Struthio camelus: one gene and its partners. The protein of the gene in region 3 binds, or shares a complex with, the protein of the main gene of each other region. Links are inferred from orthologs where the notes say so. Each region holds a gene or a part of one and is shown on either strand. Other genes may lie near its edges.

Evidence for each region.
Region 1: POLR1C (region 3) and TAF1A share a complex: the UniProt entries of both Homo sapiens proteins name them as parts of the pol I pre-initiation complex. The link is inferred for Struthio camelus from reciprocal best matches to the Homo sapiens genes POLR1C and TAF1A.
Region 2: the proteins of POLR1C (region 3) and POLR1B are in contact, whole or in part, in a cryo-EM structure (PDB 7OBA), measured with the Homo sapiens proteins. The link is inferred for Struthio camelus from reciprocal best matches to the Homo sapiens genes POLR1C and POLR1B. Residues at the interface, in NP_976035.1 of Homo sapiens: Ala70, Asn74, Arg77, Arg78, Leu81, Ala82, Gln102, Asp103, Glu104, Ile105, His108, Leu112, Lys220, Asp221, His222, Ala223, Thr230, Ser232, Tyr233, Arg234, Leu235, Asp281, Thr282, Phe283, Ser284, Glu286, Arg289, Arg301; in NP_061887.2 of Homo sapiens: Arg713, Gln715, Lys761, Ala762, Glu765, Arg766, Gly767, His770, Tyr774, Gly816, Val848, Arg872, Pro874, Glu900, Asp901, Phe904, Glu906, Gly908, Lys967, Gly970, Tyr971, Asn972, Phe973, Tyr974, Arg978, Tyr980, Ser981, Gly982, Ile983, Ser984.
Region 4: POLR1C (region 3) and POLR1H share a complex: the UniProt entries of both Homo sapiens proteins name them as parts of the pol I pre-initiation complex. The link is inferred for Struthio camelus from reciprocal best matches to the Homo sapiens genes POLR1C and POLR1H.

Annotation. Positions count from the first base shown.
Region 1 is NC_090944.1:126,970,054-126,978,035, forward strand, and holds the start of TAF1A (TATA box-binding protein-associated factor RNA polymerase I subunit A), read left to right. Parts: upstream 1-4,982; 5' UTR 4,983-5,071; coding exon 5,072-5,180; intron 5,181-5,194; exon of another isoform or gene 5,195-5,487; intron 5,488-6,290; exon of another isoform or gene 6,291-6,365; intron 6,366-6,754; coding exon 6,755-6,924; intron 6,925-7,499; exon of another isoform or gene 7,500-7,664; coding exon of another isoform or gene 7,665-7,724; intron 7,725-7,982. Other genes in the region: MIA3 (transport and Golgi organization protein 1 homolog), read right to left, coding at 118-251, 927-1,167. UniProt on the Homo sapiens protein: Component of the transcription factor SL1/TIF-IB complex, which is involved in the assembly of the PIC (pre-initiation complex) during RNA polymerase I-dependent transcription.
Region 2 is NC_090944.1:147,741,394-147,748,338, forward strand, and holds the start of POLR1B (DNA-directed RNA polymerase I subunit RPA2), read left to right. Parts: upstream 1-3,920; 5' UTR 3,921-4,051; intron 4,052-4,985; 5' UTR 4,986-5,063; coding exon 5,064-5,153; intron 5,154-6,945. UniProt on the Homo sapiens protein: Catalytic core component of RNA polymerase I (Pol I), a DNA-dependent RNA polymerase which synthesizes ribosomal RNA precursors using the four ribonucleoside triphosphates as substrates.
Region 3 is NC_090944.1:103,662,660-103,670,190, forward strand, and holds the start of POLR1C (DNA-directed RNA polymerases I and III subunit RPAC1), read left to right. Parts: upstream 1-4,498; 5' UTR 4,499-4,746; coding exon 4,747-4,815; intron 4,816-4,909; coding exon 4,910-4,981; intron 4,982-5,176; coding exon 5,177-5,284; intron 5,285-5,976; coding exon 5,977-6,109; intron 6,110-6,240; coding exon 6,241-6,360; intron 6,361-6,552; coding exon 6,553-6,705; intron 6,706-6,883; coding exon 6,884-7,033; intron 7,034-7,531. Other genes in the region: protein YIPF3, read right to left, coding at 519-642, 1,117-1,230, 1,787-1,918, 2,266-2,358, 2,786-2,831, 3,702-3,808, 3,894-4,097, 4,193-4,273. UniProt on the Homo sapiens protein: DNA-dependent RNA polymerase catalyzes the transcription of DNA into RNA using the four ribonucleoside triphosphates as substrates.
Region 4 is NC_090977.1:793,268-800,535, reverse strand, and holds the start of POLR1H (DNA-directed RNA polymerase I subunit RPA12), read left to right. Parts: upstream 1-4,191; 5' UTR 4,192-4,282; intron 4,283-4,309; exon of another isoform or gene 4,310-4,511; intron 4,512-5,525; exon of another isoform or gene 5,526-5,537; 5' UTR 5,538-5,539; coding exon 5,540-5,669; intron 5,670-5,782; coding exon 5,783-5,883; intron 5,884-7,252; coding exon 7,253-7,268. Other genes in the region: MGAT1 (alpha-1,3-mannosyl-glycoprotein 2-beta-N-acetylglucosaminyltransferase), read right to left, coding at 65-1,381. UniProt on the Homo sapiens protein: Core component of RNA polymerase I (Pol I), a DNA-dependent RNA polymerase which synthesizes ribosomal RNA precursors using the four ribonucleoside triphosphates as substrates. Can mediate Pol I proofreading of the nascent RNA transcript.

The DNA of each region.
Region 1 (7,982 bases), about 23 Mb from region 3:
CATTGATTATTTATGTTAAAAGATTAAAGTGTTCTTATAAGAGGCAAAAGGATGAAAAAAAGTTACCAAAGAAAGTGCCAACAAGATCAAATGGAATAAATGCTTTACGGTACTTACACTTCCAGCCCAAAGCTCAGTTGATTTCCCTATTAGTTTGTAATACACATACACTGCTTCTCCTTTCTTAAAATTGACAAAACGACAGTCTGGACCTTTAAAATCCTGCATGGCCTTCCCTCGGCACATCAACACTGTACAAAGAAAACAAAGAGCAGAGTATTACTTCAAAAAATTGAACGTCATAGTTTTGCGGAAAGGATCTTTGCTAATCAGCAGGAAAGACGACCTCTCCGCACGCACAGTTTTTACAGACTGGGTCAAGGGGTGAGAATATAACTGCAAGCGCAAATAGGATAAGTAAGGGAAAAATATTACCTAAGCCCACACAAGAGCTCAATAAAGCACCGGAGCGTTACATTTGAGAAGCGCGCTATGAGGCGAATTGTTAATATTAAATAAGAAAGGCTGAAGGATGGCATCTGTTTCATAATGAATCAGCCCTTTTGCTACTCGGGCTGTGAAAAACACCCAGCCAGCGTCTCTTACCAGGGGGTCTTGCGGAAAGAGAAGAAGCTGCGGGAACGGGAAAACTTGGCCCGAAAGACCAAGCGGGTAAATCCCAACCTGCCTCCCCGCGGGAGGCTGGCGAGGAGCAGCGCGCGCCCTGCTCCCTTCCCCCCCCCCCGCAATTTTAAACAAAAACATCAAAAAAACTAACCCCCCCCCCACCCGCGGCGCTGCCCCCTCCCCGAGCGGGACCCCCCCCGGGGGGGGGGCGGCGGCGGCGGCAACAAGTCGGCGGGAGCCGGCGCGCCGCCCCGCAGCCCCCCCCCCCAGCGCTGCCCCACGGCCCCGGCCCCACTCACTGCTGCACTCGGGGTCGGCGCAGCGTTTGCGCTCGGCGAAGCGGCGGCCCAGCTCGGCGTCCAGCGGCCGCGGCAGCAGCAGCAACAGCAGCAGCAGGGCGAGGAGCGGCCGAGGGGCCGGCGGCGGCGGCGGCGGCGCTGCGGCCATGATCGCTGGGCGCCGGCGGCAGGGAGGGAGCAGACACGTCAGCAGGGCCGGCGGCGGCAGCAGGCGGCGCTCGGACCCCGCCGCCGCCGCCATTTCGCCCGCCCCCATCCCGCCCCCTCGCCGCCATCTCACCGCCCCCTCGGGCAGCGGTTGGCGGCGGCTGCCCCGCCGCTCGCACGCCTGCCGGGGCTGCTTCTCGTCAGCGCCGTCCCGCGCGGGAGGGCCAACGTGAAGTCGGCGTCTGCCCGGCCGCCTGTTCGTCGTTCAGCCAAAGGAAAGTTCCCTCTGCGAAGAGGAGGCGACAGCAGGGCAGCGCGGGTAGGCGACAGGCCGCGGCGTCCTGCGGCTGGTTCAGTCAGACGGCAGGTGTTCGTTGCCCTCTCCGGGCGCGGGGCAGGCTCTGCAGCTGCTCCAGAAACGAGCCGGAATTGGGCCGGTCCGGTGGTCAAGGGGAAGGGCCCCGCTTTTTCCGTGCGTCTCTCAAGAGGCGTTTTAAGCGACACGTTTGCGCGCGCTCTGAGCATCAGCTACCAGAGGAGCTGATCCTCCTCTTCCGCGGACGGCCAGCTCTTATCGCCAGCAGCTGGCAGTCACCGCTGCTGGCTGCCTTAGAGGTACTGCTCGTGTTCTCGTATCCTTACGGTTACTGATTTTGCTTTACCTGCTCTCACTTCTACGGCCCCATCGGACAAGATCTGAGAGCCAACCGTAGTTAACGCTACATGATCTCTGGAAAAACAGGTATTTTATTTTAACCTCCCCCCACTCCCGAGCAGTTTACTGTTTTATCACGTTATGAAAAGGCATCAGGACAGAAATAGGTATCTTCCTAATTTAACGCTACAAGGACAGGCTTCAGTATTTCACAGCCAAACTTACCTTAAACATCTAGCCACTCCTTACAGCCCCATCTATCCCAAGATTAAGGAAACACCTATACGTTAGAGGAACGCAACAGTTCATTCACCCCGTACTATTTTCTCCAGGAAGGTGCCTCCACATATTCCCTAGGCCCAGCGCAGTATCGCGGCTGTAGAACACAGCCCCCCTGGAGTTGTGCTGGCGTTTCTCTATTTCACATCCTATAAAATGAGGTGATACCTATTTGCCATTACTGACGCTGTCTGAGGAAAAGCTCTAAGAAAGTCTAACTCATAAAATTGAAACGTGAATTTCATCACAGCTTACAAGCAGCCTGAGCTGTGAAGCTGCAGTTCTCTTGAAATATATCCTGTAAGAGTTAACTCCAAACAGAAACATAAAAACAGATTTTACCAAAAAACTATGAACTACAAACTTGGCAAAATTAGAGGATTTTAACACACTGCTGTATATGGAAACTAGAATATTGAAGTCATACAGCTTATGAGACTTTAAGAATAAAAGACAACTGATTTTTCCCTTGACGTTAAAATTTCTTGTGGCTTAATTCCCATTCTGATCTTTAAGTCCACTTGCTTGTGAAGATATAGCTGTTGGATAATTCCCTGACAGTACTAGGTTATCAAGCTTATCTATCAAAAGACCAAGATAAAAAGTAATGGTGTCTATGATCATAAAAACCAAGCACAGAAAAGCGACACATGAAGAGAAACAAGATTACTTATTTCTTGCAAGAGTCATTGCCATTATTGTATATATTGCTGTCAATATATATACATGGGTTTACCACTGCAACCATCCAAAATTCCCTACAATTTCAAATATTTCATAGTAATAATATGTACGCAGCTTTCTCTTTCTCACTTAATTAAATTCAAATGTTTTAGGAAAGATTTCCTTCAGCCTTCAACCCCAATCTTGCAGATACGTGCATTCAAATTTGAGAGGAGTGCCATTATGTGGAATCTAGAGATGTGTACATGTTCACAGCTACAAACAAAGCAGTTTCCCCATCTCTTCTGCGCTAAAGCATCTACCAAATTAAAAACTAATACCCATGAATAAGACCAATTGGCAAAGTTCACACAGGAACCAGCAAAGACTCTCATTTATGTAAGACACAGAAAAATTGAAAAGCCCAGAGAAACATTAATCTGCTTCTAAGCAAACATGAGAACTTTCAGAGATAAAATGGGGGAAGCTGAATACCGAAACTAGGGTATTGATGCAACAGAGCATCAGAAATATTGTAGGACGTGACGCCATACTTGGGGAACACCAGTAATCAGTGAGACGCTTATACGAAGCATTGCTTATAAAGGGTAGACAAAGAAAATATATACTCAATAAGGTTTATAGTCAAATTAGTTGAATAAGTTAACTCTGTCTACGAGTAATACCGAATACTTATGAACTGAAATTCTGGGCCTAAATTGGAAGAGCACTGGATTAAGACTGCACTGTTGTGATAACACCGGGGACCGGGAGATGCCAAGATCAGAAAGGCTGAAAGAGCAGAGAAAAACAGTAACATGAGACTCCTGCTATCCCCACATAGATTTATTAAGTGTCACAGTAGGGTATGATACTAAGGTTAAATGTTTAGACACTACAAAAAACTGCCCTGCCTTATACTCGTCCTCTGACACCTGTTCTGGATCTTAGCTGAAGACAGGACACTGGATTAGGTGAACCTTTCATCTCAGCCAGTATCATTCACTTACTCACCTTCACCTGGCAGAACTGTTTAGAGAAAAATAAAAGTACGTTTTTATTCAGAAATCAGGACTTTGAACATACCAAATCACTCCGAGGCTAAGTCAGTTGCTGCTAGTGATTTAATGAAACGAGCTCCAGCACAGGTTTGTACAAACCAGGCTCTGTGCAGACGGACTTCTGGCATCTAGGTGTTCTAGACTGACTCTTCTAGGTCCTTTTCTTCTGTAGAAAAACGCTGCTCTAAATTACAGACCCACAGAAAAGTACCAATAAACCTAGAGGAAAAAGGTGGTAACAGGATGTAGGAGGTAACCATCACTTTCGGAGTTACTGGTGGCAGGTGTAACAACGCTCTGATGGTGCTATGCATTAGACGGTTCTCTGCTACCCCTCTGAGCACGTCCACCAAGCCTCCCATCCTCCTTCTAGGTGCCTGCTATTTCCTCACCCTGCCGTTTCTCATTTCCCCACCTCCACAGGCAGTTTATCTGCCAGCACATCCCTCGTACACGTGCTGCGCTCCCTTGGCGGGGCCGGGGCGCAGGACAGCTCAGAGCCCGCCGGGCCGGGCCATGCACCGCAGCGGTGACAGCAGCGCCTTCAGCCTCCACACGACCGCTGCGGGCCGCTGGCCCCGGCCCAGCTCCGGCCACCTGCTGCAAACCAACGCACAGCCACGCTACTTGAGGGCTGATTTCAGCTGGAAGTGGCCCCAGCTACCGCCGCACCCTGACCCGCAAGGGGCGCTCGCTACCGAGGGTGAGCGGCACCTTTCTGGGACGCATCCCAAGGCACGCCCGAAGGGCCGCCAGCCCGGCCGCCATGAGGAGAGCAAGCGGGCGACGCCGCCCCCTCCCGCGCCTCCACACGACCCCCTCCCCCCCCTTCACTGCGCAGGCGCACGAGACAATTCCCCCTTTCATCATGGCGGCGGAGGTGGCTAAGTTCTTCAGCGCGCAGGCGCAAGAGCCAGTTTCTCCCGTTTCATCATGGCGGCGAAGCGGCCCATGTTCCATAGGGCGCATGCGCCTTGGCCGCTATGCGCACCTGGCCAACAGCTGGCCTACGCTCTAGGAGCTAGGGCTACTTGGGAGCGGAAAGAGGTGGTCATCTTTAAACTGAGCCCCGGCTAAGCTCGCCAGGGCGGAGCGGCTTCGCCTCTCTCACAGGATGACCTTAGCAGCTCGGTTTAGATGAGGCTGGCTAGAAACTCCAGTTAGTTCGCCCCGAAGCCCGCCGCCAGGATCAAAGATGGCCGCTGCCGTCAGGCGGTTCCCCGCTATAGCCGCGTGGGGGGGGGGGGGAGCGGTCACGTGGGAAGAGGACGGCTCGCGCAGCGGCGCCGTTAGCGATCGCGGTAACGGCCGCCCGGCGCACCGGCCCCTTCCTGCGGGCTATGGACGGCTTCGTGGAGCGGGCGGCGCCGTGCCCGGCCGCGCAGGCGGGCGGCGCCCTGCTACCGGCCCTGCACCTGCCCTTCCTGCCGCCACACCTCTACCGGCCGGGTAAGGGCGGAGCTGTGCGGCGGCGGCGGCGGCCCCCGCGGGTCCCTGGGGCCTGAGGGAGGAGCGCCGCCCGCCGCGTGTGTCCGCCGCCCCCCCCTTTTCTGTGGTCTGCGCTTGGCCGGTCTGTCTGGCAGCCTTTGAGGTGCTCGAAGGTGTCGTTTCTGCTCCGTGCTGTGAGGTCTCAGTGAAGCAGGAAGAACTGGTGACTGTCCTCTGGCAGTCTTGGCCTGCTCTCCTCCGTGTGGGCAGCCCCGGCAGTCTCGTGGCTTCAGGGGCCTGGAGGATGTTTGGTACCTCAGAGACTGAGGTCTTTAATCATAGCATCCCTGTGTTGTTTCTCTCTGTTTCTGTGGGTAATAAGCTGCATGTGGCTTATTCCGCATTTTCACTGTTAGTAAAATAAGGTAGATGAAATAACTGATAACAAAGGCATAGTGGATGTAGGTAACTGCCAAACCTCTAGCAAAGTTCCTGTTTCAAAATACTTCTGTAGTAAAACACTTGGCAGAGCCTTTACATCGCATCTATCTGTATCAGATGACTTCTCAGTAACTTATGTGATGGGACTTACCTACAGTAGTCATAGTCCTTGGTATATTTAATCTTGCAATGTTTGTTGCGGTTTTTCTATTCTCAATGTTTGGAACCTGTGAAGTTACAAATAATTTAAATGTTAGGCCAGGTGTGAAGACACTATTGCTCTACTAAAAGAAGCTTCTTTTAGACTAGTCAGTATGGTCTTGGGAAGGTTGGTTAGAGGTAACTGTGTACAATGCACTGTAATAAAAGTGCTGTCAGCCTATGTTTGAGTCACTGCTTTGCCTACAGCATCCATGTAGGAGCTGGTTTGCTCAGCTCTGCACATCCTTTGCAGAAGGTTTCTATGGCTTGAGTGACATTGTGGGGGCACGTTAGGTCAATGGCATGCAAATATTACATAGGCATGGGCTTAAACATGGAAATGGGTTCAATATTGTGCTATAACAAAGGTGAACCACTGTCTAGCACCCTTTATATAAAAGGGATGAGTGGCCTCCTTCCCATTTTGTATTCACAAAAGAATAATCTGCTATGTGTATCTTTGTGTTTTGCTTTTTGTTTTTAGTGGGTGTTGTTTCACCTTTGTTACTGGAGTGGCCCATCTGTATGTACTTATGTGACACTTCAGCACAGTAGAGTCACAAGGTCAGTTCAGGATGAATAAGGGAAGAGAGAGGTTCCCTTCTCCCCCTCCCCAAATATCAACATACACTACTAAGTTACCAAAGCACCATGGTTTTCTGATTCCTCTAGAGCAGTAGTGTGTAACAGCTAGTCCTTGGCTGTTTCAAAAGTGTCTTCATCTCTGTGTTGCTTGTGAAAATGCTGTTTTATACTGTATTTCCAGCTTTTTTCATAGTTTGTTGCTCTCCTGTTAGGTTTTTCAGAACCTGGATGTGTTTACTTTCAAAGTCATATAGGTGAAGACTGGTTTCTGTAGTGTCTGAGGAATCATGTCTCTTTGATAGAGAGACACTAAAACAGTAGGCATGTTATTATTTGAATGAAGACTGGGTTTTTTTGTTTGTATTTAGCGACTTCCCATGAACACAAATTAAACTTCAGGAAGAGCAAGGAAGCATGCTTAAGTTACATTCAGGATGCCATGCTACAAAAGCAGTGGAAAAGGGCTGCGGAGTTTCTGACCTTCTATACTGAGTCATTGGAGAAAGACTTTTCTACTGAATACATGGGTCCTTCAGAGGTAAGTAAGTCGAAATCCCTTATTGGAGTTGTTCTGCAGTTGAAAAAAATACTTGCAAGAAGCATCTGTAAGACTTTAGGGCTAACATTTGTCTCAGTTGACTAAAATAAATTATATAGACTTGATTTAGAAAGAAGTGTCAAAGGTAAGACCTGAAAAGCCAGGTAACTTTTGCAAGCTAAGTAAGTGCCCTTTTTTTTTTTTTTTTTTTTTTTTTTTTTTAATAAAGGTCATTGTATAATTGGGTTTGACCTGCTGGAAAGCAGCTCTGCAGAGAAGGACCTAGGAGTCCTGGTGAACATTAAGTTGACCATGAGGCAGCAATGTGCCCTTGTGGCCAGGAAGGCCGAGGGTATCCTGGGGTGCATTAGGAAGAGTGTTGCCAGCAGGTCGAGGGAGGTGATCCTGCCCCTCTTCTCAGCCTTGGTGAGGCCTCACCTGGAGTACTGTGTCCAGTTCTGGGCTCCCCACTACAAGAGAGACATGGAGTTACTGGAGAGAGTCCAGCGGAGGGCTACAAAGAGGATGAGGGGACTGGAGCATGTCTCCTCTGAAGAAAGGCTGCGAGAGCTGGGCCTGTTCAGCCTGGAGAAGAGAAGGTCAGAGGTGATCTCATCAACGTGTACAAGTATCTGAAGGGAAAGTGTCAAGAGGATGAGGCCAATCTCTTCTTCGTGGTGCCCAGCAACAGGACAAGAGGCAACGGGCAGAAACTGAACCACAGGCAGTTCCATCTGAACATGAGGAAAAACTCCTTTCCTGTGAGGGTGACAGAGCACTGGAACAGGTTGCCCAGAGAGGTTAGTGGAGTCTCTCGAAACCCACCTGGACGTGACCCTGGGCAATATGCTCTAGGTGACCCTGCTTGAGCAAGGGGGTTGGACTAGCTGATCTCCAGAGGTCCCTTCCAACCTCAACCATTCTGTGATAACAGAGAACATATGGATTTGAGCATGGTGCTACAAAGGGGGGAAGACTGTCAGTGTAAGTAGTTATTCAAGTGCTGATGGAGAAGTGGAAGGTCTTGCATGACAGGCTGCAGAAAGTACATCAAACTT
Region 2 (6,945 bases), about 44 Mb from region 3:
CACTGAACAGGAAAGCATCATGGAAAATTGAAGCTTTGGGGATTTTAATTGCAGCAGGAGAGCAGGCTGTGCTGCCGAGGTCAGGGCCATGTTCTCTTGGCTCTTGCACGGAAAGATGGTTGTCAATGAAATAAAACAGACCTTGTTCGTGTTACCCAAAGCAAAACAAACAAGAAGAGATCATGGAGGTTACAAGCTTCTGGCTGCCTGCGTTTAATGGGAAGTGAATCAAGCAGTGTGATTTCTGCCTCCCACAAACGATCCCGGCGCTTTGACATACTCACCTTTGGTCGTGGCTGAGATTTCAGAGGTCTTCCTGCCAGCACAGCGCTTGGTAAGCAAGTGATCCTGCCGGCAGGACTGAAGTGCCCACCCCTCCTCGGAGTGATGGATTTTGGTCATGCTGTACCTGGACAGACATTCATTGCAGCATGCTGTGAACAGAGTGGTTAGCAAAGCCCAAAAGAAGCGTTGCAGAGAGGAAGCGTCCCGAAAGGCCAGGCAAGCCCGTCGTCAACGCTCTGAAGCGCCGCACGGAGCGGAGTCTGCATGGCGTTTGGCAGACGCAAGGTGCGTTGGAGCTGGAAAGCAGTTCGGTTGCTGCACGCTGGGAAGCGACGAGGAGCGATAGCCGCGTGTGAACAGGGTGTCTGCTTTGTTTCTCCAGGCTGCGTGCGAAGGACGCCTGGACTCCACTTGCTGGTGGGTGGTTTTGTTTCCAGCAATGCCCTGAGCACCATGTCCAGTTTCTGGCTTTACTGGACCTCTTGTGTTTTCATATGAGCCAGAAAGCGGTGGGGGAATGGTGGGTCATAAGCTGGGAGAAGGAGGTATGAGGGAAGGGCTGTTTGGGTGTCCTAATCTCGTGATAGCACACAGGTGTGAAAATTGCCCTGCAGACCAGCCCGAAGCATAGTGTTAATAGTCCCAGGTAAAATGTAGGCTGTAACAGGTGTTTCATGTGACTCGCAGAGCTGCCAGCTCAACAGGTCTCCACTGACATTTTCACATAGTAGCTACCGTGAGCTTAAAAATGCACCTTTTTTTCCCCCAGCAAAGGCAAGATCTAATAGCAATAGCCTTGGTCCAGAACGTGCCTGAGCAGACACTGCACTCTCACAAGCTCTACACCAGACCAGACCAGAGCTCCTCAGGTATGAAGTGAGAAAACTTTACCCGTCATAAGGAAATGAAAAATCCCTGGGGTCCTAGACCCCTCTTTACTTTCCCTTCACCCTGAATTCAGAAACCAAAACGCTCCCTTCCTGAGCGTATGTAAGATTAGATCCCTGCCGATGTAGTGGGATAAGGCTAGGAAAGCAGCCCGGATGCAGGGAAGAGAAGCATCTTTTATCAGCACAGCTGATACAGCCAGGAAGAGCAGTGACTCAGGAACCTCTGCATAACTCCAAGGCCTTTCCCTCCGCCCTTTTTCGCCTCAGGTTGCATTGAGATACGTCCCCAACTGGCTATTTCTGCTGCTCAGCTAAAAGCAGGGCTTCAACTCAATGGTAAAACAATGGCCCCAGGTGATGCAGTTACTCATAACCTGCCTTTTCAGCTGGATTTTGGGGAGATAGTGATTCAGGGACTCTTTAATCATTGGTTTGTTTGCTGAATAAGCAACAGCCTCTAGAGGAAAACACTGGGTACCATGTGTGAGCACTCACCATCTCCCCTCAAAGTGCTTCCCCCAAGCAAAGCCCAGGAGGTAAACGCTAAAGGACGGCCAGTGCGGTACCTAGGGTTTTGCCCAATTTATTAGCCCCATTTATTATTTGTTAGGTGGAGCAAAGAATGAGATGGATACGGCTGAGGCCTGAGCGTTGCGACCGTGGGGGCACCTTGTAAGTGATGCTCGCACACTTTTATTTTTTAGGAAAAAAAATGCAAAAATAAATGTTTTCTAGCTTGATTCAGCTTAAAGGTCAATAGACAAGGTCTTGCTCTCTTTCCTAAGCCTTGACAGAGGATGGTGCTGGGTTGCAGGAGGAGCCCGCCCATAGTCTTAGCAGTTGTATCCCTTCAGTCCAGCCATAAAGGATTTAGACCCAGATGCTCCGGTTGTGTTTTGCAGCAGGGTCTGGTCCAGCCGGAGCCTGGGCTTCACTTAACTCCCATATGGCTTCTCTCATACCAGATTAATTGTGACTGCGGAGCGACAGCTCTCGGGCTCCCACTGAAATCCCGTGGCCGGCCGCAGCCTGTGGAAAACCCTGGGGCTGTCCGACAGGCTCGAAAGCACCTTCGTCCGAGCGGTCCGGCTCCCGTTCCCTGCTGTAGTCCAAGCCCTTGGGGACTGCTTGCCTGTCTGTGGTCCAAGCCCTTGGGGACTGCTTGCCTGTCTGTTTTCCAAGTGCCGCTCTCCGCTAGGAGAGCGATGCCGTGCTGTAAGTAGGTTAATGCTTGTGTGTCATTATCGGTGTCAGCCACAATAGTCCACAGAAATCCATGAAAGGCTTTGAAAGGACCGGAGGCCGTGGCTGGGGCAGACATACAGAGCTCCCGGGCTCCAGTTTTTGTTTCCAAAGCACTTGTCGCACGAGCGAGTGTGTACACGGCCGGCGGGACCCCGAGCGGCGCGTGGTTCTCCAGCGTTTGTATTCAGATCTGTCCTAAACCACCATTAAAAAGAGGAAATCTCAGAGGCTGTGGCGTTCCCGTGGGACAGCGGGTCCCGGGGCTCGCGGCACTGGCACAGCAGCTGGGAAACGCTCCTGCCTGCCCCCGCCATGAGCGTTTCTGCCTCTCGCTCCGGGGAGGGGGTGATTTGGAGGTTTTGTGGCTGAGTTTGCAGCACTGGGTGTGCAGTGCTGTGCCGCCTCTGCGGCCGGGGGGGGCCAGAGCTTCCCCGCCTCCGCTGCCAGGTCGCCCGCGGCAGGGGGGACACGGCCTGGGGGGTACGGCCCTGGAGGGACGTGGTTCCGGGGGACGCGGCCCCGGGGGTGGCATGGCTGGAGGACACAGCCTTGGGGGGGACATGGCTGGATAGGACACGGCTCGGGGGGGGACACAGCCCTGGGGGGATGTGGCTGGGGGGGACACAGCCCTGGGGGGACAGAAATGGGGGGACAGAGCTGCATAGGACACAGCTCTGGGAGGACAGAAATGGGGGCACCACAGCCCTGGGGGGACAGAGATGGGGGGGACGCAGCTGGGGGGGGACATGGCCCTGGGGGGACATGGCTGGAGGGGACACGGCTCTGGGGGGACAGAAATGGGGGGGACACTGCTGGAGGGGGGACAGAGATGGAGGGACACAGCTGGGGGGGACAGAGTTGGGGGGGACACGGCTCTGGGGGGATAGAAATGGAGGGGACATGGCTGGGGGGGACAGAAATGGGGGGGACACGGCTGGGGGGGACAGAAATGGGGGGGACACAGCCCTGGGGGGACAGGAATGGGGGAACACAGCCCTGGGGGGACAGGAATGGGGGGGACACGGCTGGGGGGGACAGAAATGGGGGGACACAGCCCTGGGGGGACAGGAATGGAGGGGACACGGCTGGGGGGGGACAGAAATGGGGGGACACAGCCCTGGGGGGACAGGAATGGGGGGACACAGCCCTGGGGGGACAGGAATGGAGGGGACACGGCTGGGGGGGGACAGAAATGGGGGGACACAGCCCTGGGGGGACAGGAATGGGGGGGACACGGCTGGGGGGGGACAGGAATGGGGGGGACACGGCTCTGGGTCCCAGGCAGAGCGCACGTGGCCGTGGGTCAGGCCCTGGGGCGCATGCGCGGCGGGGTGGGGAGGGGGGAGGGCGCACACGTGGGGTGCGCGCGCGCGCGTCCGCCGGGGGGCGGGGCGGATGCGGCCCCGCCCCTCAGCCCCGCCCCCGGCCGCATCCCAGCAGGCAGCGCGGCGGCGGCGGGCAGCATGGCGGCGGGCGCGGGGGCGGTGGGCATGGCGGCGGGCGGCGGGGGGCACCGGCTGCGCCGCCGGCCGCGCTACCGGCCGCGCGGCGAGGCCCGGCGCGACTTGCCCGGCGCCCACCTCGACTCCTTCAACTACGCCATCAGCGAGGGCGTCTACCGCGCCGTGCAGGTGCGGGCGGCCGCCGTCGGGGGGCGGCGGGGGGCGACTGAGGGAGACCGTCGGGGGGCCGGCGGGGGGGACCGGCGGGGGGCGACCGCGGGAGACCGTTGGGGGCCGTCGGGGGGCGGATCATTGGGGGCCGTCGGGGGGCGACTGCGGGAGACCGTCGGGGGGCGGCGGGGGGGGGACCATTGGGGGCCGTCGGGGGGCGACTGCGGGAGACCGTTGGGGGCCGTCGGGGGGCGGATCATTGGAGGCCGTCGGGGGGTGACTGCGGGAGACCGTCGGGGGGCGGCGGGGGGGACCGCGGGAGACCGTTGGGGGCCGTCGGGGGGGGGGACCGTTGGGGGCCGGCGGGGGGCGACTGCGGGAGAGCATTGGGGGCCGGTAGGGGGGGGGACCGTTGGGGGGCGACTGCGGGAGACCACTGGGGGCCGGCGGGGGGTGACTGCGGGAGACCATTGGGGGCCGGTGGGGGGGACCACTGGGGGCCGTCGGGGGGCGACTGCGGGAGACCATTGGGGGCCGTCAGGGGGGACCACTGGGGGCGGTTAGGGGGCGGCGCTGGGGGTGGTTGCGGGGGGCCGTTGGAGGGCAGCTGGGGGGGCCGTCGGGGAGCGGTTGCAGGAGGCTGTTGGGGGCTGTCGGGGGCGATGGCTGGTGGGGGGAGACCACTGGGGGCTGGCGGGGGGTGGCTGGGGGGGACAAGCGAGGGCCGAGGTGGGACGGGCGTAGAGCAGCGAGGGCCCGGGGGTTGGCTTTTGGGGGTGGCTGAGGGCGAGGTGAGTCAGGGGAGCGGGGGTGTGGGGCCGGGGCCAGCGGGTGGCTTGGCGGGACGCAGAGGTCGCAGCGGGGGCGCCCTGTTCCCCGGGCAGCCCCCGCTCTGGGTGCTGCCCCCGACCTACGTCTGGGGAGCCTGACCGCCCTCGCGTGTCTGTTTCAGGACCTCCAGCCGCTGGAGTTTGCTCTCAAAAGCGATCGCATCTCGCTGGCTATTGTGGGAGTTTCCATCTCTCCCCCAATGGTGCCAAAAGGGACCATCTGTCAGGATATGAAGGTTTACCCGGCGGAGTGCAGGGGCCTCCGAAGCACGTATCGGGGGAAAATAATGGTAAGTGTTGAGCTGTAAGCATTGGGGCTCGCAGGGAGTACGCTGTTCTTCTCCAGGGCCTGATATATATTACATCATTACGTACGGTAGCATGACATCACTAGTTCCGCAAGAGCAAAGCTAACGGAAGCTTGTTTCTCCACAAATTTGCGTGTACTTTGGCTAAAGATCACTTTCCAATTTCACCTGCTTTGCAGGTACTTGGCAGAACTGTGTCCTGTATGGAGTCTCGAGTTCTGATGAAGTATGAGCCCACTGCAAAAGCTTCTTCTCTTTGAGCCCTTAAAACATCTCTTCCCCTCTGTGCTCCTTTTTCGTAGGACCTTAATGATCTTCCCTTTCCTGCTGTCAAATTTGGGTAGAAATCAGCTAGCCAGCTCAGAAGATCTTGGAAGGAGACCTGTTTAACCTCAGAGAAAGGGATAATCCAAATCTTGTTTCTACAGGAATCCAGGTTTCAAAATCAGTATTGCTCTGGTGTAAAAGCCCAGCTTTATAAATCCCTTTTGTTCATATCACGTGTTCATCGGTTTTCCAGATTGCTCTGAAATTTGAGTAGAGAAACATCCCTGGCAAATATTTTCCCTTGCGTTGTGAAAGCATCAGAGGACCATTGCTGTTTGCCACTAAAATTGTGTAGCTTTGTCCAAGGTGTAAATTTGCATGGGTCTCTTGCAAGAGAACGATTGTGTGCAGTTTCTGCTTATTTTTTTTTCCTCCTTTCTCTGAATCGTTGCCATTTATTATGGTAAAAGCCACTCTAAGTGCGGTATCTTGTCTGAACATAAAAGTGGGGCAGTCGCACAGATTCTTTGCAGACGTTTTCCCAGTGGCTGCTGCTGTTGTTTTTTCATACGTTCATTGTTTCTTTCTTTCTTTCCTAAGATTGTTCGCTTTTTCAATCTGTGCAAATGTTTGACGGTCCCAGCCCAACAATTTGGCTGTGCCTTATGTGAGAAAGTATTGCCTTGTGCTTGGACTGGTTGTTCAGTCTCTCCCACTCCCTGCTCTTGCGCAGCGGGAATCGGTGTATAATCATTCCCTGTTTGCTTTCACTATGCTGCTGTTAATTGCATGTCCTTCCATCGTATCCCCCTTGAGGTTCTCGCTTTTCCAAGCTAAACAGTCTTAGTCTTTGTGGCAGCTCCTCGCGCAGAAGCCATTGGAAGCCATATCTTTGGTCATCCTTTAGGCTTGAGACCAGAACTGTGCTGAGGATTTGATGTAGGGTGCACCATGGATTTACAGAGGCACAGTAACGTTTCTGTTCCCTTTCCTAGTAGTTCCTGAGACTTGATTTACTCTCTTGAGTTGGTGTTTTCATATTGTAATGCCAAGATTTCTTTTCTGAGTGGCAGTGGCTCCCTTAGAGCTCGTCGTTCTACACATAAAATTAAGATTGTTTTTTTCCACTGTGCTTTTTGTCACCTCGTTTCTTACAGTCAAGGGAGCCTTCTGCAAAGCCTCTGTCAGATCTTGTTATTGTAAATAAATGGTTTTCCTAAGCAAACTGTCTTTTCCTTCTCACTTTTCAAATCACTTATGAACAGGTCAAATGGTCCAGTCTTAGGAAAGATCTCTGTAGTCTCTACTGTTGATCTCCTTCCATTGAGCATTTATGGTTTTCTTCCACTTTTTCTTTAACCACGTATTGACTTCTGAGGTCTCCCTTCCTATCCTGTGGCTTCTTTGTTTATTTAGGCTGCTTTGTTGCAGTAGCTGAAACAGTCTACTTAGGCTTTCAGACTTGTTCACCTGACTAGCAGTTCTAGACTTGTCTGATTTCCCTCTG
Region 3 (7,531 bases):
AAAAGATGCAAAAAGGAGACCTGAATATGTATAGCTTGGTAAATAGCACAGACTGGGGGAGGTGGAGCTTCTGCTGCCTGTTTTGTACAACACAAGATAAAAAAAGGCATTACACCAATTTTAAGAAGGAAAAAGATTTTTCTTGCGATACATTGACTGTGGATTTTCTGACCAGAGAAAGCAACCTGATTTCAGCAAGATTCAGGAAGGGACTGGATATCTGCGTGAGTGGAACAGTCAGTGCTGTGACACTTCATTTATGGGGAAAATTAAACCTTCTGCCTCACAACTTCTGTCCTAAACCCTGAGACTCGGCACAAACAGATTACCCCATGTCTATCTGCTGCCCCATTTGGACAGCTTCCTCTAACACAGCTAGCGCTGGCCGCTCTTGGATAGGAAGTTGGCACATATCCCAGGTTGGATCCAACTGGCTGTATTTTTTCTGGGAGGGAACAAAAAGCAATTCCTCTTCCCCCAGATCTAACAGGCACTCCCTTCCTATCTCCCCTTCTTACCTTCTACTACCTTGTGATAAGCAAAGTGCAGGTAGAGGAGGAAAAGCATATGCAGAGCAGCAAGGGTCCCACACAAGATGAGCCGCTGAGTATGCCCCACGGTACGTGACACTAGCACAGCAACCTAGGAGAGAGGTGGAGATTACAGACAAGGTAGCTGCTACCTCAGCCTTTGGCGTTGCAGTCAGATGCACATAGGCAGATGGGCCAAGTGGTAAGAGCCAACAGAAACTACTCAGAGACTCTTTGGCAGTTTACACCACCAAATTCAAAGTAAACTGACTGTTTCATGTAGGTGAAGCTTGTCCAGCCTTGCCAAGAGTTCAGGATGCTCAGGCAGGACTCTGCACCACAGTAGGGGCTGTAAGGGAGCAGACCTCCTGCAGCCATTAGAATGCGTGAGGACATTAAGCCGAGTGTCACTTCCAGACACCAGCGGCCAAGCAACCCAGAAGTGTCAGGCTGTTGTTCTTAGCAGCCTTACTGGCTTTGATATGAACTGCCTGCCCCAAGAAACAGAAAGCAAATGACATTCTCCTCTTTTTTTTTTTTTTTTTGGTCCCCAAAGCAGGAGGGCTCCCAGCTGCCTGTCCCTTACCATTCGTAGTGTCGAGAGTCCACCAACACCCAGCCAGAAGATATAGAAGAGGGAGTGGAAGTGGATATTATAGGTAACAAAGAGGGTGATGCAGTGTCCAAAGAGGCCATAGCCCTGACAAAACAAAAATACACGTGTTATGAATGACAGTCCCACGTGAAGGGCTACTGGTCAAAACCATGAGTAGGCTACTCCTGCAGCGTTTCATGGAGGCAAAGCTTCACTAATCACTCACTCAACACCCAAGAGTCAATCAGCACACCAAACGTAAAAGCCAGTGTGCTGTGGGAGCAGCTCACATCCAGCTTCTCTGCCTGAAGGAGTCACAGGGATGATAGAAATCACAGCAACTTGGGAAACAGAGAAAAAATCAGCCTCTGTTTCCAGAGAAATTGGAATCTCCTGCTTTTTACCACCATGCTCTCAGATCAGGAAGTCCAAAGCAGATCTGCATGAAGCAACAGCCACTTTGTGCTGTCCTCGTACCTGGGATGGGGCAAGTCAGAAGAACAACTTGGAATTCCAGCCTATCCCCATGCAATAGGACTGCAGTCACCTGGGACCATTAATTGATAAGGAGACTTCCACGTCTCAGGGAAGACCCCCCCACACCACCCTTCTGCTGAAGCACCATGCAGCCAACCTGCATCTTAGCCCCATCCATACATACCAACAGTGACAGCATCTGCACCATCGTGATTTGGGCATTGCACAGATATGCCAGGAAATAGATGAAAGAGGAGACGCCCAACCAGTAACCGAAGCAGGTGCCAATGGCTGTGCCCATCAGTGTGCCTTCCCTCTGCAGAGACAGTGTCAGGGTGAGGAGAGCGCAAAGAACTGACCTGTCAGGACCCAAATTCCACCTCAGAGAGTTCCCAGAGCCTTTGCTAGGCATGACTGAATAGCCAGCCAGCAGCGTCCAGGATGCCACATGGCCTACTGCCCAGCCCTTCCAGCAACACAGCATCAAGATTTTCTGATGCTTGCTTCCTTCCTCCTACCCCCAAATTAACTCTTCCTCAAATCAGTCTGCTTTTCAGCAAGGTGCTGTTCAGTCACGGGAGAGGCTTCCTCTCCCTCTCTAGCCTCATTATGGCAATTCAGATCCCAGTGCAAACCCCAACCTATCGCTGAGACTCGCCGTACAATGATGGTGTCCGAAGTCTTCATCCCATGCAAGAGGATGGCCACCAGCGTGAAAACCAGCATGAGGGGCCCATAGAGCTCGCCTGCAATCTTCTACAGGAGGAGACAGACCAGGGAAGGCTTGGTTAGTGCTCCTGAAGGCCAGACTCCCCACCCCAAGCCATGTGAGAAGTGCCTTGGATGAATTTTGTCACTTAGCCACCTACTGATCTGAGAAGTAACAGTAAGGCCGCTGCTGACAGGAGCCAGGAAAAATAGGTCATGTGATTAAGAGTCAAAGTGGTGTTAAACAGGATGCCAAAACACGATAAGTGAAGTCTGGAGATCTAGAACTGTACCAGCATTAAGGGTAGCAGAAAGGGGTTTAGAAGCATCCTGGGAAAGAGCTTACCAGCATTTTCAGGCAGATGAACAACTAGCAAACTCAGGCCCTTACTAACACGGGCTAATCAAAATCTCCAAGGTGTCTGTGGGACATTCTCTTGAGCCATGGAGTTTGATTCAGCAAAAGGGAACTCACCTGTGGGAAATTAATCATCTTGACGGGAACCATGGACTCTAGCAGTCTGCATCACAGAAAAAACACAGAACGACATCAAAAGCAGGAAAAACAACCAGGTTAACGAGATGCCTCAGCAGTAAAAGATCCCATACCCCAGTCACCAGTATTTTCCTGTTGTGCCTCACAGGCCTTGGTAGACACAGATTCCTTCTGAAGAGTCACAAAAGGTAGCTAAAGAAAACAATCTTATTATCCACAGGCTAACTTTGCCAGGGGGATTTAATGAAAACATACACAGATCCATTCAGGGATGAGGGGACTGCTGCCAGAACAGCAATCCCTAATTTTCTGAGCCACTGAACTCCTTGACCTGAGGCTGGATGAAAAAACATATGTTGATGATATAAAGCCTTCTCCTTCATGACAGCGGGCTAGCCGAGCCTCCTCATGAGTTAGTCCTGGATAAAATCATGCTGTAAAAATATGTACAAACTGTACCCTAGTGCTGGCTCCTTAGGCCTTGGAAGGTTTTAGAAAAGTAATTCTTGCCTCATTCTCTCCAGTCAGGTAAGCTGCTCCCTGAGAAGACACAGAACTGCCTTTCTGAACACAACTGTGTTGCAGGTCCAACAGAAACCACGTGACGGGGCTGGGCAATAAAACGCTAAAGATGCCTCAAAGCCCTTGTTTCAGTCAGAGAAGCTCTGCTGGGCCACAAGTGACATAGCGGCCAGCCCGCCTAGGGAACCTCTTTAAGGACAAGGGGACAAAGCCTAGCGTGTTACCCTGCATCTGGGCACTGCGCAGGGCTGGCAGCCCCACCCGGAGTTGCTTGCCTTGGGGGCAGCCGCTCCCTGGTGAGGAGTCGCTGGTCCCCCCTGAATCCCCCGGGCACTCGCGGCGGAGGCGACGGCCGGGCCACGGCCTTGCCCACCTGGTGCGCACTTGGACAGGCTCCACGTCGAAGTAGGGCCGGAGGATGTCGATGTTGGCGTAGAGGCTGAAGGCCTTCGAGGCCTGCCTCTTCCCCACCTGCCACATCTGCGGAGAGAAGGCAGCGTGCAGCAGCCGGGCCGGGCCCCCGAGGCCGGGGGCGGCCGCGGGCCGGGCGGGGAGCCACGCTCACCTGGTCAGCGACCTGCCGGCCGAGCTGCCCCCGCAGCCCCTTCATGCCCAGGAACTCCCCGTCCTCCTCCTCGGCGGCCGCCGCCTCGCCCTCCGCCTCCTCCTCCTCCTCCTTCATGCGCTGGTGCATCTCCCCCATGTCCTCGAAGCTGGAGCCCGACGTGTCGTCCATGTTCTCCATGTCGATCACGGCGGAGCCGCCGCCCTGCGCGGGGGGCAGAGGCGTCAGTGCCCGCCCGGGCCCCGCTCGGCCTCGGCCTCGCCCCCCGCCCGGCCCGGCCCGGCCCGGCCCGGCCCCACCTGCATGTTGTCCTCGAAGCCGCCCCACTCCGCCGCGCCGCTCCTGCCGCCGCCCGGCGCCGCCGCCCCCGGCGCGGACATCGTGGCCGGGGCCGCCCCGCGCCGCGCTCGCTGCTGGCGGCTCCGCGGGCCCAGCGGGGCTCGCAGGACCCGGATGTGACAGGCTTTCCCCCCTCCCCCCCCAGCACCGGCGGACGTGGAGGCTCCGCCCGCGCTCTCGCGAGATCGCGCTCTCGCCGGCCGGCCGGCAGTGCCGCCATCTTGGGAGTGGCAGAGGAAAGTGGAAGGGGGCAGCAGAGAGGAGCTGAGTAGACGGTGAGGGAGCCTCGCAGAGCATACGGGGGCGTGGGCTGCGCTGTCGCAGCGCCCCCAGGCCGGCCTGCGGCGAGGGAGGGTTGAACGCCCCGCGGCTGAGGCGCCACACCTAGGCGGAGCCAAGTCCTCCCGCCCGGCCGCCGGGGGTGGGGCGGCCCGTCACGTGGCAGAGGGAGTCTAACCCCTCCCTCCCCAGTCCGTCCGGCCGCGCACGCGCTCTGGTAGCGGCGGCGGCGGCAATGGCGGCCAAGCGGGGCACGGAGGAGATGCGGGAGCGCGTGGTGCTGGGCGAGTTCGGGGTCCGCAACGTGAGTTGGGGCGGCGCGGGGCTGCCGGGTGCCCGCCTCGCTCCCGGCGCCGCCGCCGCCCTCACGGGCTCTCTGCCTATCTCCCTCTTCGCAGGTCCACACCACGGACTTCCCCGGCAATTACCCCGGCTACGACGATGCCTGGGATCAGCTGCGCTTCGAGGAGGTGGGCGCTGCCGGCAGGCCGGGGCGGCCGTTGGGCGGCCGTTGGGACGGGGCGGGCTCCGCGGCGGCCGTTGGGGAGGGGGCGCGCGGGGCGGGGAGGGGAGGAACGTTACAGGCTCCGGGCGGTGCGGGCGCGCGCGCGGCGGCGGTTGGTGGAGGCGGGCCCGTGGGGTGACGCGGCGCGTGGCCCGTGCAGGGGTTCCGCGTGGACGTGGTCCGCGAGGAGGACGACGCGCTGGAGTTCGACATGGTGGGCATCGACGCGGCCATCGCCAACGCCTTCCGCCGCATCCTGCTGGCTGAGGTACCGCCGCGGGGAGGGCAAGGCTTGGCGGTGCTCCCCGGCCGGGTTCCCCCCCCCCCCCCAACTCGGGTGGGCCTCGGGGCTGTTAGCATCTTCGTACCACCGGTGGCCCTTGTGGCCCGCCGGTGGGAGCCTGCTGCAGCATCAGTGTTTCTGCAGCAGGGCATGGGGGACAGGGCCCTGCACAGAGCTGCCTGGAAGCAGGCCCTAGCTGCAGAGCAGTCTGTGCGATGGGAGAGGGCGTGTATGTGTATGTCCTGTGGTATCTCAGTCCATCTATACGTATTTTAGAAGAGAAGCAAAAATCCGTTCTGTATGTCAAGGACCTAGAGAGAGTTAGAGCCTTAGTGGCATGAGCAATAGCAATTGTAACCCTTAAGGATGCTGAGGTAGGTTGGTAGGTTGTTGTGGATGTTGGTAGGTTCTGTGGATTGGTCTGCCCTTTACCTCTCTTACTTTTTTTTTTTTTTTTTTTTTAATAAAAGAAGTAAGCTACCGGGATAGAGGGAGAACTCATTCATGTTTGTATTGGGTAGCGCAATTTGATAGAAACACCAGTGAGAAGAGTGTGCGAGCAATTATTTATGGGAGAGAAGAAGTAGTGAAAATAAGCACGTTTTAGTTAGACACTGTTTTGGTGTGTAGTTGGACCGTCACCTTATACTGACTTGATGCGTCCTCTTCTCCTTGAGGTGCCAACGATGGCTGTAGAGAAAGTCTTTGTGTACAACAACACGTCCATCGTGCAGGATGAGATTCTGGCTCATCGCTTGGGACTTATCCCTATCCGAGCTGACCCTCGACTCTTTGAGTACAGAAACCAAGGTGAGAGTCCTGAGTCTCCCTTCAATCAAACCGAAATACTGAAGGTTGCCCCCAAAGTAGGAAACCTGGGATCAGGTAAACTGAGCAGAAGCGTGATTCTGTAGACGCTCGTGCTATTCTCCCCTTTCCAGGAGATGAAGAAGGGACAGAAATTGATACGTTGCAGTTCCAGCTGAAAATAAAATGCAGCCGAAACTCTCAGGCAGCCAGGGAGTCCTCTGACCCCAATGAACTGTACTTCAATCACAAAGGTAAGGTCTTTCCGTGTCCTAAAAACAGATGCTGCTTTTTTTCTTGGGAGACAGGAATTGGTCCATTCTCTCAGTCCTGTGAACAGAGAGAGCTGATTCCCTTATTCTGCTAAACTTTTTACCAGCTCCAGTCCTGTAGCAGTCTGCTTTCTGAGGCAGCAGCTGGCTGATGCTTGTGGCTCCTCTTCACAGTGTACAGTAAACACATGACATGGGTGCCTTTGGGAAATCAGACAGACCTCTTCCCAGATGCTGACTTCCGACCTGTTCATGATGACATCCTTATCGCACAGTTACGACCTGGCCAGGAAATAGATGTGCTTATGCACTGTGTCAAGGGTATAGGTAAGTCACTGGTCCTGAGGGTAGGGGGAGAAGGTGTGGGAGTGCTCGGACTATAGGGCATGGACGGATGTGTGGAGGGGAGAGGTGGAAGGCTGGCTTGCCTCTTTGAACTTTAGGCCCTAGCATCATTACCCTCTTGTTCTGTGAGACCTCTCCTCACCCTTATCTCTTTGTGCAGGTAAAGATCATGCCAAGTTTTCTCCTGTGGCCACAGCTAGTTATCGACTGCTTCCGGACATTACTCTCCTGCAGCCTATTGAGAATGAGGCGGCTGAGTTGTTGCAGAAGTGCTTTTCCCCTGGAGTCATTGAGATCCAGACCATCAAGGGTACTTTATTCACTGCTCTAACGTGTCATGTCCTTATGAGTCTTAGCAAAGAGTTATTGCAGACTAGAGCCAAACCTTGTGGAGACGAAACCACATTGTGATGTTGTCTTGCTGATCAGCAACTGTTTGTGCTGTTCTCAGCCTGGTTTTATGGATGAGTGGCTGTTGCACGCGTATGTGTTTGCTGGTGAACTGAGATCTCCCTGAAATGCTAAGGTATTGTGTGTCTGTCTGTAGAGCCCTGTGGCTGCTTACTGCAGCTTCCAAATACTGCTCAACTGTGTGTCAGACTGGGTAGTGAGCTTGGTCTTTCCAGCAGTTGAATGTGGGGATGACGTGTATCCTGCCCAGGGGTATGTATAAGCTTTGTGTTTAGATTGGAACTGCTCATTTCTATCAGGTTAGAATTTTGTGTTGGAGGTGTGCTAATTCTTTATACTTTGTGGCTTCACTGCCTTTGCTGGTGGGCGAGTGCTTGTCTGGGGTGCCTTTTGGTCA
Region 4 (7,268 bases), on a different chromosome or scaffold from region 3:
CCCGAAGCGGGAGGAAGGTTTGGTTGGAAAAACCAAACGAACCGAGAGGGGAGCGGGGACGCCGCTAACTCCAGCTGGGGTCGTAGCCCGTCCAGTCCGAGGGGGGCGCGAGGTAGACGCGCCGGCCGCGGTAGACGAAGCTGACGATGCCGCGGTAGCCGGCGCGGGGCACGCCGGATTTGAGGTCGTCCATGAGGCCCAAGGCCTTGGCGAAGGCTTTGAAGGAGTCGCGGCTCGTGTAGCGCACGCGCACGGCGCCCAGCTCGCGGCGCCGGTTGCCCTGCAGCTCTTCGACCCGCACCTCCGGCGCCGCGTAGACGCGGGGCAGGAAGGAGCGTTCGTACTCCTCCTTTTTGAGGTAGGAGAGGTCGAGCCGGGTGAAAGGCACGAAGCGGTCGTTGAGCTTGATGAACTTCAGGTACTGGTCGAAGAACTGGCCGTGGCTCACGCCTTTGCGACCGAACGTCATGGTGCGCGACACCTCCGGGCGCACGCACGAACGCTCCCGCCGTTGCTCGGGTTGCCTCATCCAATCGTCCCAAAACGCTCGAGGCCATTTAGGTTCCAGTTCGTCCCACAACTCGGCCAGCAGCAACCAACCGAGACCCGGGAAGAAATCGGTGCGGTAGAGCAGCTCGGCTCGCCCGGCGTCCACCATCTGCTCTTTGCCGTTGTCGTTCCAGGCCGAGACGCACCAGAGGCTGCGGTCGGCCAAGAGCAGCGGGAAAGTGGCTTGGAAATACTCGAAGAAATCCGGCGCTACTTCCAAGTCGTCTTCCACCACGATGGCCGCCCGGTAGCGGAAAGTACGGAAAACCTGTCCCAGAGCCCAACGGTAGTGACGGGCGATTTTGTAGTAACCTTGGAACTTGCGGTGTTCGGCGGGTACGGGCACGTCGCTGAGGTCGGGCTGCCGGATGTGAGCCACGGCGTCGCCGTACGAGGCGATGACGCGCGCCGTCTCGGCGTGCCCGCAGTCCTGGCTGACGATGACGGGGAAACGTTCGGGCGAAGGGCGGTAGCGCAGCAGCTTGTCCAAGCACCGGCGTACCGTGCTGCGGTCGCAGGCCATCACCAGCACGGGCAGGACGACGGAGGCGGCGGCGGGTGACGGCGGCGGCCGGGGGCTGCTGGGGGGAGGCGGCGGGCGCCGGCGGCGACCCCACAAGCCGCTGTAGCGGTGGATCTGGCGCAGCAGTTCCTTCTGCCGTTCCAGCTCGGCTTCGGCATCCTGCGCCAGGCGGATCACCTCCTCGGTGAGGCCGCGGCCGGGTTCGGCGCCGGGGGCCGCGGGGCGGCTCCAGAGGAAGAGGAGCAGCAGGCCGTTCCAAGCGACGAAGAGCGCCGCCCCCCACAGCGCCAGGCTGCTCTTCTTCAGCATCCTTCACCCGGCGGCCGCCCCCCCCTCTCTCTCTCTCTCCACCGCGCTCACGCCGCCGCCATGGACCTGCGGGCAAAGCCGAGCCGAGCGCCGCGTTAAAAACCTCTCGAAACCCCTAAAAAAAAAAGAAAAACCACCCAAAAAAAAAAAACCTCTCCACGCCCAACGCCCGCTCGAAAAACACCCCGAAGAGGAAGTCGCGAGAGGAAACAAGACGCCCCCGAGGTCCCCAGCGCCGAGGCCGAAAGTCGCCTGCGGTAGAAAAGGAGATGGGGGGGAAAACAACCCCCCCCCTCCCCGATCTGCCCCCAAAAACCCCAGCTGCCGGGGCAGAGTCCGTCCCCGTTAAAGGTTAACCTGGGCGCCGGGGCCGAACTCGCCGCCGAAACGGGGCGGGAAAAGCCGCCGGGGCGGTTTTAGCTTTTCTACGTGAAAAACTGAGGGGGATAATTAAAAAAAAAAAAAAAGGGAAAAAGTAAAGAATAACAGACCCCCCCCCCCCCCCCAAAAAAAAAAAAAAAAAACGCGAAGCTTTGGGGGAGCCTCCGCGGCGAGTTACTCACCCGGCCGCCGGCGAGCCCGGCCCGACTCCTGCCGTGTGGCGGAGGTAACACGTCAGCAGAGCAGGAAACGAGGGGGAGGGAAAAAAAAACAAAAACCGGGGGAAAAAGAAACCAGAAAGAAAAAGAAGATATTGGGTTACTGAAGTCAGGCAGGAGGCGGCCGTCCCCGGGGCGACTTTCTCCTCCGCTCGAGCAAGCGGCCGAACGAAAACTTCCGCCCCGGCTCCGGCGGGCGGCGATTTACGTTCCTGAAAAGAAGGAGGGAAGAAAAAAAAACAAACAAACCCGGACTCGCCGTCCCGCTGCCGTTTTGGGACCGGTTTTATTATTATTTTTTTTTTTTTAACCCTCCTGGCGGGAGGAAAAGACGCGGCAGGAGGCAGGTTAATTCGCTAAAGCCGCCCGGGGTGGGGGGGGGAGGTTTAAGCTGCTTTTCCTCGCCCCCGGGGTCACGTCGCGCGGCGGCAAAACGCCCCAGGGGCGAGGAAAAGTTTCCCCGCAACCTGTCGGTTCTGTTCAAAAGGGGGGGGGGGAAAGGATTCCCCCCCCCCACCCCGCTGCTTTTTCCGGCGGGATTTAAAGCCCGGCGGCGAAAGGAGGGGAAAAAAAAAAACCCAAAACGCGGGAAGGGTAAATAAAAAACCCCCGGCGCGAAGCTGCCGCCTTACCTGGCCGGCGCCGGGGGAGGGGGCTCGCCGGGGTGTCCGTCCGTCCGTCCGTCCGTTCCCCCCCCCCCCCGGCCAACGTCGAGGCCTCCGCGATCCGGCTCCGGGGTTTTTTCCGCGCCGGGAAGCGGATCAAGCCATGGGGGGGGGGGAAGGGGGGGGGAGGATTTGGGGTGGGGGGGGCGGCCCCGCCGGGGCCCCCGGCGCCGCTCGCGGCTGCTCTGCGGGGGGGGGGAGGGGGGACATGAGGGAGGGGGTTGGTTCCCCCTCTGCCCCCCCCCCAAATCCCATAGGGGACGGGGACCTTCCCCCCACCCCCCATCCCAGCCCTGTTCCCTCCTAAAGGGGGGGGCAGGGACCCCCCCCCACGCAGCCCTATAGGGGACAGGGACCCCCCCACCCCATATGGGAGAGGGATCCCTCCTCCACACCCCTATAGGGGACAGGAACCCCCCCTCCCCACGCAGCCCTATAGGGGACAGGGACCCCCCCCCCACACACAGCCCTATAGGGGACAGGGACCCCCCCCACACACCCCTATAGGAGACAGGAACCGCCCCTCGCCACGCAGCCCTATAGGGGACAGGGACCCCCCCCCCACGCAGCCCTATAGGGGACAGGGACACCCCTAACTACTTCTGTAGGGGACGAGGACCCCCGCACACACCCCTCTATACGGAACAGGGCCCTCCCCCACTCCTATAGGTAAGAGGGCTCCCCCCCCACACCTCTATAGGGGACAGGGCTGCCCCCTCCACACCTCTACAGGGGTCGGGGCCCCCATATAGACCTCTATAGGGGACAGGGCTCCCCCCCTCCACATACCTATATAGGGGACAGCCCCCCCCACCCCCTTATAGGGGACAGGGGCCCCACACACACCCCCTATAGGGGACAGGCCCCCCCCACTTCTATAGGGGATAGGAGCCTCCACACCCCCCCCTATAAGGGATAGGGCCCCCTCCACACACCTCTATAAGGGACAGGGAGCCCCCCACACCTCTATAGGGGACAGAGACCCCCTCACACACCTCTATAAGGGACAGAGATCTCCCCCAAACACCCCTATAGGGGACAGGGCCCCCTCCACACACCCCTATAGGGGACAGGGAGCCTCCCACACTTCTATAGGGGACAGGGGCCCCCTCACACCCCCCTATAGGGGACAGGCCCCCCCCAGCCCCCTCCCCTCCCCATAGGGGACAGGACCCCCCCCCCGACACCCCTATAGGGGACATGCTCCCCCCCGGGGGGGGGGGTCCGGGCCTCCCTCCTCCTCCTCCTCCTCCCCCCCCCCCGCCCCTCCGCGCCCCTCCGGTACCAGCGGCGGCTCCCAGCAGCGCCCGCCACTTCCGCCTGCCCGCGCCGGAAGTGGCGCCATGGCAACGGGCCCGGCCCCGCCCACCGCGGCGGCGCCGTCCAATCAGCGCCGGGCAAGGCCACGCACGCACGCACGCACGCGCGCTCCCCTGCGGGCGCTCCCATTCCCGCCGCCTCCCTCCCTCCCCTTCCCCCCCCCCGCGCGGCGGGATGGTACAGCCCGAGGGAGGGCGGGGCCGCCGGCCACGCCCCCCTCCCCGCGCGGCCACGCCCCCTCCCCGCGCGGCCACGCCCCCCTCCCCGCGCTCCAGCGCCCGCCCGCCGCCGTTTTTAACGTCTTTGGGGCTTTTTCGGTCGGTTTCGGGGTCTTTGGCGGGGTTTTTTCGGGGGGGGGGTCGAAGTTGTGACGGGGGGGGAGGGGAAACTCGCTCGTTCGTGCCCCGAGCGCCGCCGCCGCCATTTTTGGCGTCGCCTCAAGAGAGGGCGGGAAGGCGGCGGGTCACGTGGGTGGGGGCCCCTCCCCCCCACGCCGGCCGCTCTGGGCGCCGCGGCGGCCCCGGCTCGTCTCGTCTGCTCCGGGCGGTGGGACACGTGGAGGGGCGATGGGAGGGGGCGGGGGGCAATAGGGGGGGATGGGGGCAATGGGGGCAATAGGGGGGATGGGGAGGCAGTGGGGGGTGATGGGGGGCAATGGGCAGGGGGCAATGGGGGTGATGGGGGGCAGGGGGCCATAGGTGCTGATGGGGGCAATGGGGGGGTGGGGGCAATGGGGCAGGGGGCAATGGGGGGGATGGGGGCAATGGGGCAGGGGGCAATAGGGGGTGATGGGGGCAATGGGGGGGATGGGGGCAATGGGGCAGGGGGCAATAGGGGGTGATGGGGGCAATGGGGGGGATGGGGGCAATGGGGCAGGGGGCAATAGGGGGTGATGGGGGCAATGGGGGGGATGGGGGCAATAGGGGGTGATGGGGGCAACATGGTCAATGGGGGGGCAATGGGGGTGATGGGGGGCAGGGGGCCATAGGGGCTGATGGGGGCAATGGGGAGGCAGTAGAGGGTGATAAGGGGCAATGGGGGGCAATAGGGGGTGATGGGGGGCAATAGGGGGCAGGGGGTGATGGGGAGGCAGTGGGGAGTGATGGGGGCAATAGGGGGATGGGGGCAATGGGGGGGCAATAGGGGGTGATGGGAGGGCAATAGGAGCAGTAGGGGGGGATGGGGGGCAATAGGGGTGATGGGGGGCAGGGGGCCATAGGGGCTGATGGGGGCAATGGGGGGCAGGAGCTATAGGGGGTGATAGGGAGCAATAAGGGGTGATGGGGGGCAATAGGAGCAGTAGGGGGTGATGGGGGGCAATAGGGGGTGATAAGGGGCCATGGGGGGCAATAGGGGTGATGGGGGCAATGGGGGGTGATAGAGGGCAATAGGGGGTGATGGGGGGCAATAGGAGCAGTAGGGGGTGATGGGGGCAATAAGGGGTGATGGGGGGCAATAGGAGCAGTAGGGGATGATGGGGGGCAATAAGGGGTGATGGGGGGCAATAGGGGGGCAGGAGGCAATGGGAGGGGGGGAAAGGCACCCCTCTGCCCCCCCCAGCCCCCCCCCCAGCCATGGAGCCGCCGCCGTCCCGCTTCCAGTCGTGCCTGGACTTCTGCCCCGAGTGCGGGGCCGTGCTGCCCCGGCCGGGCCCCCGCGACGCCGTCTGCTGCGCCCGCTGCGCCTTCGCCCTCGACGTCGCCGGTGAGCCCCCCGGGGAATGGGGGGGGGGGGGGGAGCAGGCCCGGACGCCTGGGCCCCCCCCCCCCCCCCCCAAACCCGTTACCCACCGCCTGCCCCCCGTCCCCCCCCGGCAGATTTCGACGGCAGAGCCGTGCGCACCGCCGTCCAGTTCAACCGGCCCGAGCTCGCCGCGCCGCGGCCGCCCGAGCCAGCGCCGGGCCTCGACGGCCCCGTGGTGAGCCCGGGCGGCGGCACGGGGGTAAACCCCCCTTGGGAGGGGAATAAACCCCTTGGGAGGGGTATAAACCCCCCTGGGATGGGTATAAACCCCCCTGGGATGGGTATAACCCCCTTGGGATGGATATAAACCCCCCTGGGACAGGTACAAACCCCTTAGGATGGGAATAAACCCCCCTGGGACAGCTATAAACATCTTGGGAGGGGAATAAAGCCCCTTAGGACGGGTATAAACCCCTTAGGATAGGTATAAACCCCCCTGGAACAGGTATAAACCCCTTAGGATGGGAATAAACCCCCTTGGGACGGGTGTAAACCCCTTAGGTTGGGAATAAACCCCTTGGGAGGGGTATAAACCCCTTGGGATGGGAATAAACCCCCTTAGGATGGGAATAAACCCCCCCTGGGACAGGTATAAACCCCTTGGGAGGGGTATAAACCCCCTTAGGATGGGTATAAACCCCTTAGGATGGATATAAACCCCTTGGGATGGGTATAAACTCCCCTGGAACAGGTATAAACCCCCTTAGGATGGGAATAAACCCCTTAGGATGGGAATAAACCCCCTTGGGACAGGTGTAAACCCCTTAGGTTGGGAATAAACCCCTTGGGAGGGGTATAAACCCCCCTGGGATGGGAATAAACCGCCCTGGAACAGGTATAAACCCCCCCGAGATGGGAATAAACCCCCTGGGGTATGAACCCCTTAGGATGGGTATGAACCCCCCTGGGACGGGTATAAACCCCCCTGGAACAGGTATAAACCCCCTTGGGATGGGAATAAACCCCCCTGGAACGGGTATAAACCCCCTAGGTTGGGAATAAACCCTCTTGGGATGGATTTAAACCCTCTTGGGATGGGTATAAACTCCCCTAGGATGGGAATAAACCCCTTGGGATGAGTACTAAACCCTCTTGGGATGGGTATAAACCCCCTTGGGAGGGGAATAAAAGCCTTAGAATAGGAATAAACCCCTTTGGAATGGGAATTACACCCCCAGGATGGGAATAAACCCCCCTGGGAGGGGAATAAACCCCTTTAGAATGGGAATAACCCCCCCAGGATGGGAATAAACCCCCTTGGGAGGGGAATAAACCCCTTTAGAATGGGAATAACCCCCCCAGGATGGGAATAAACCCCCTTGGGAGGGGAATAAACCCCTTTAGAATGGGAATAACCCCCCCAGGATGGGAATAAACCTCCTTGGGATGGGAATAAACCGTTTTGGGACGGGTATAACCTCCCTGGGAGGGGTATAAGCCCCTTTAGGGCAGGTCTAGCCCCCCTTGGGAAGGGTTTAACGTCCCCCCCAACCCCGGGCCGGGGCGGGGGCATCTGAGGGCTCAGATTTCGGGGGGGGGGGCAGGTGGAGCGGCGCTGCC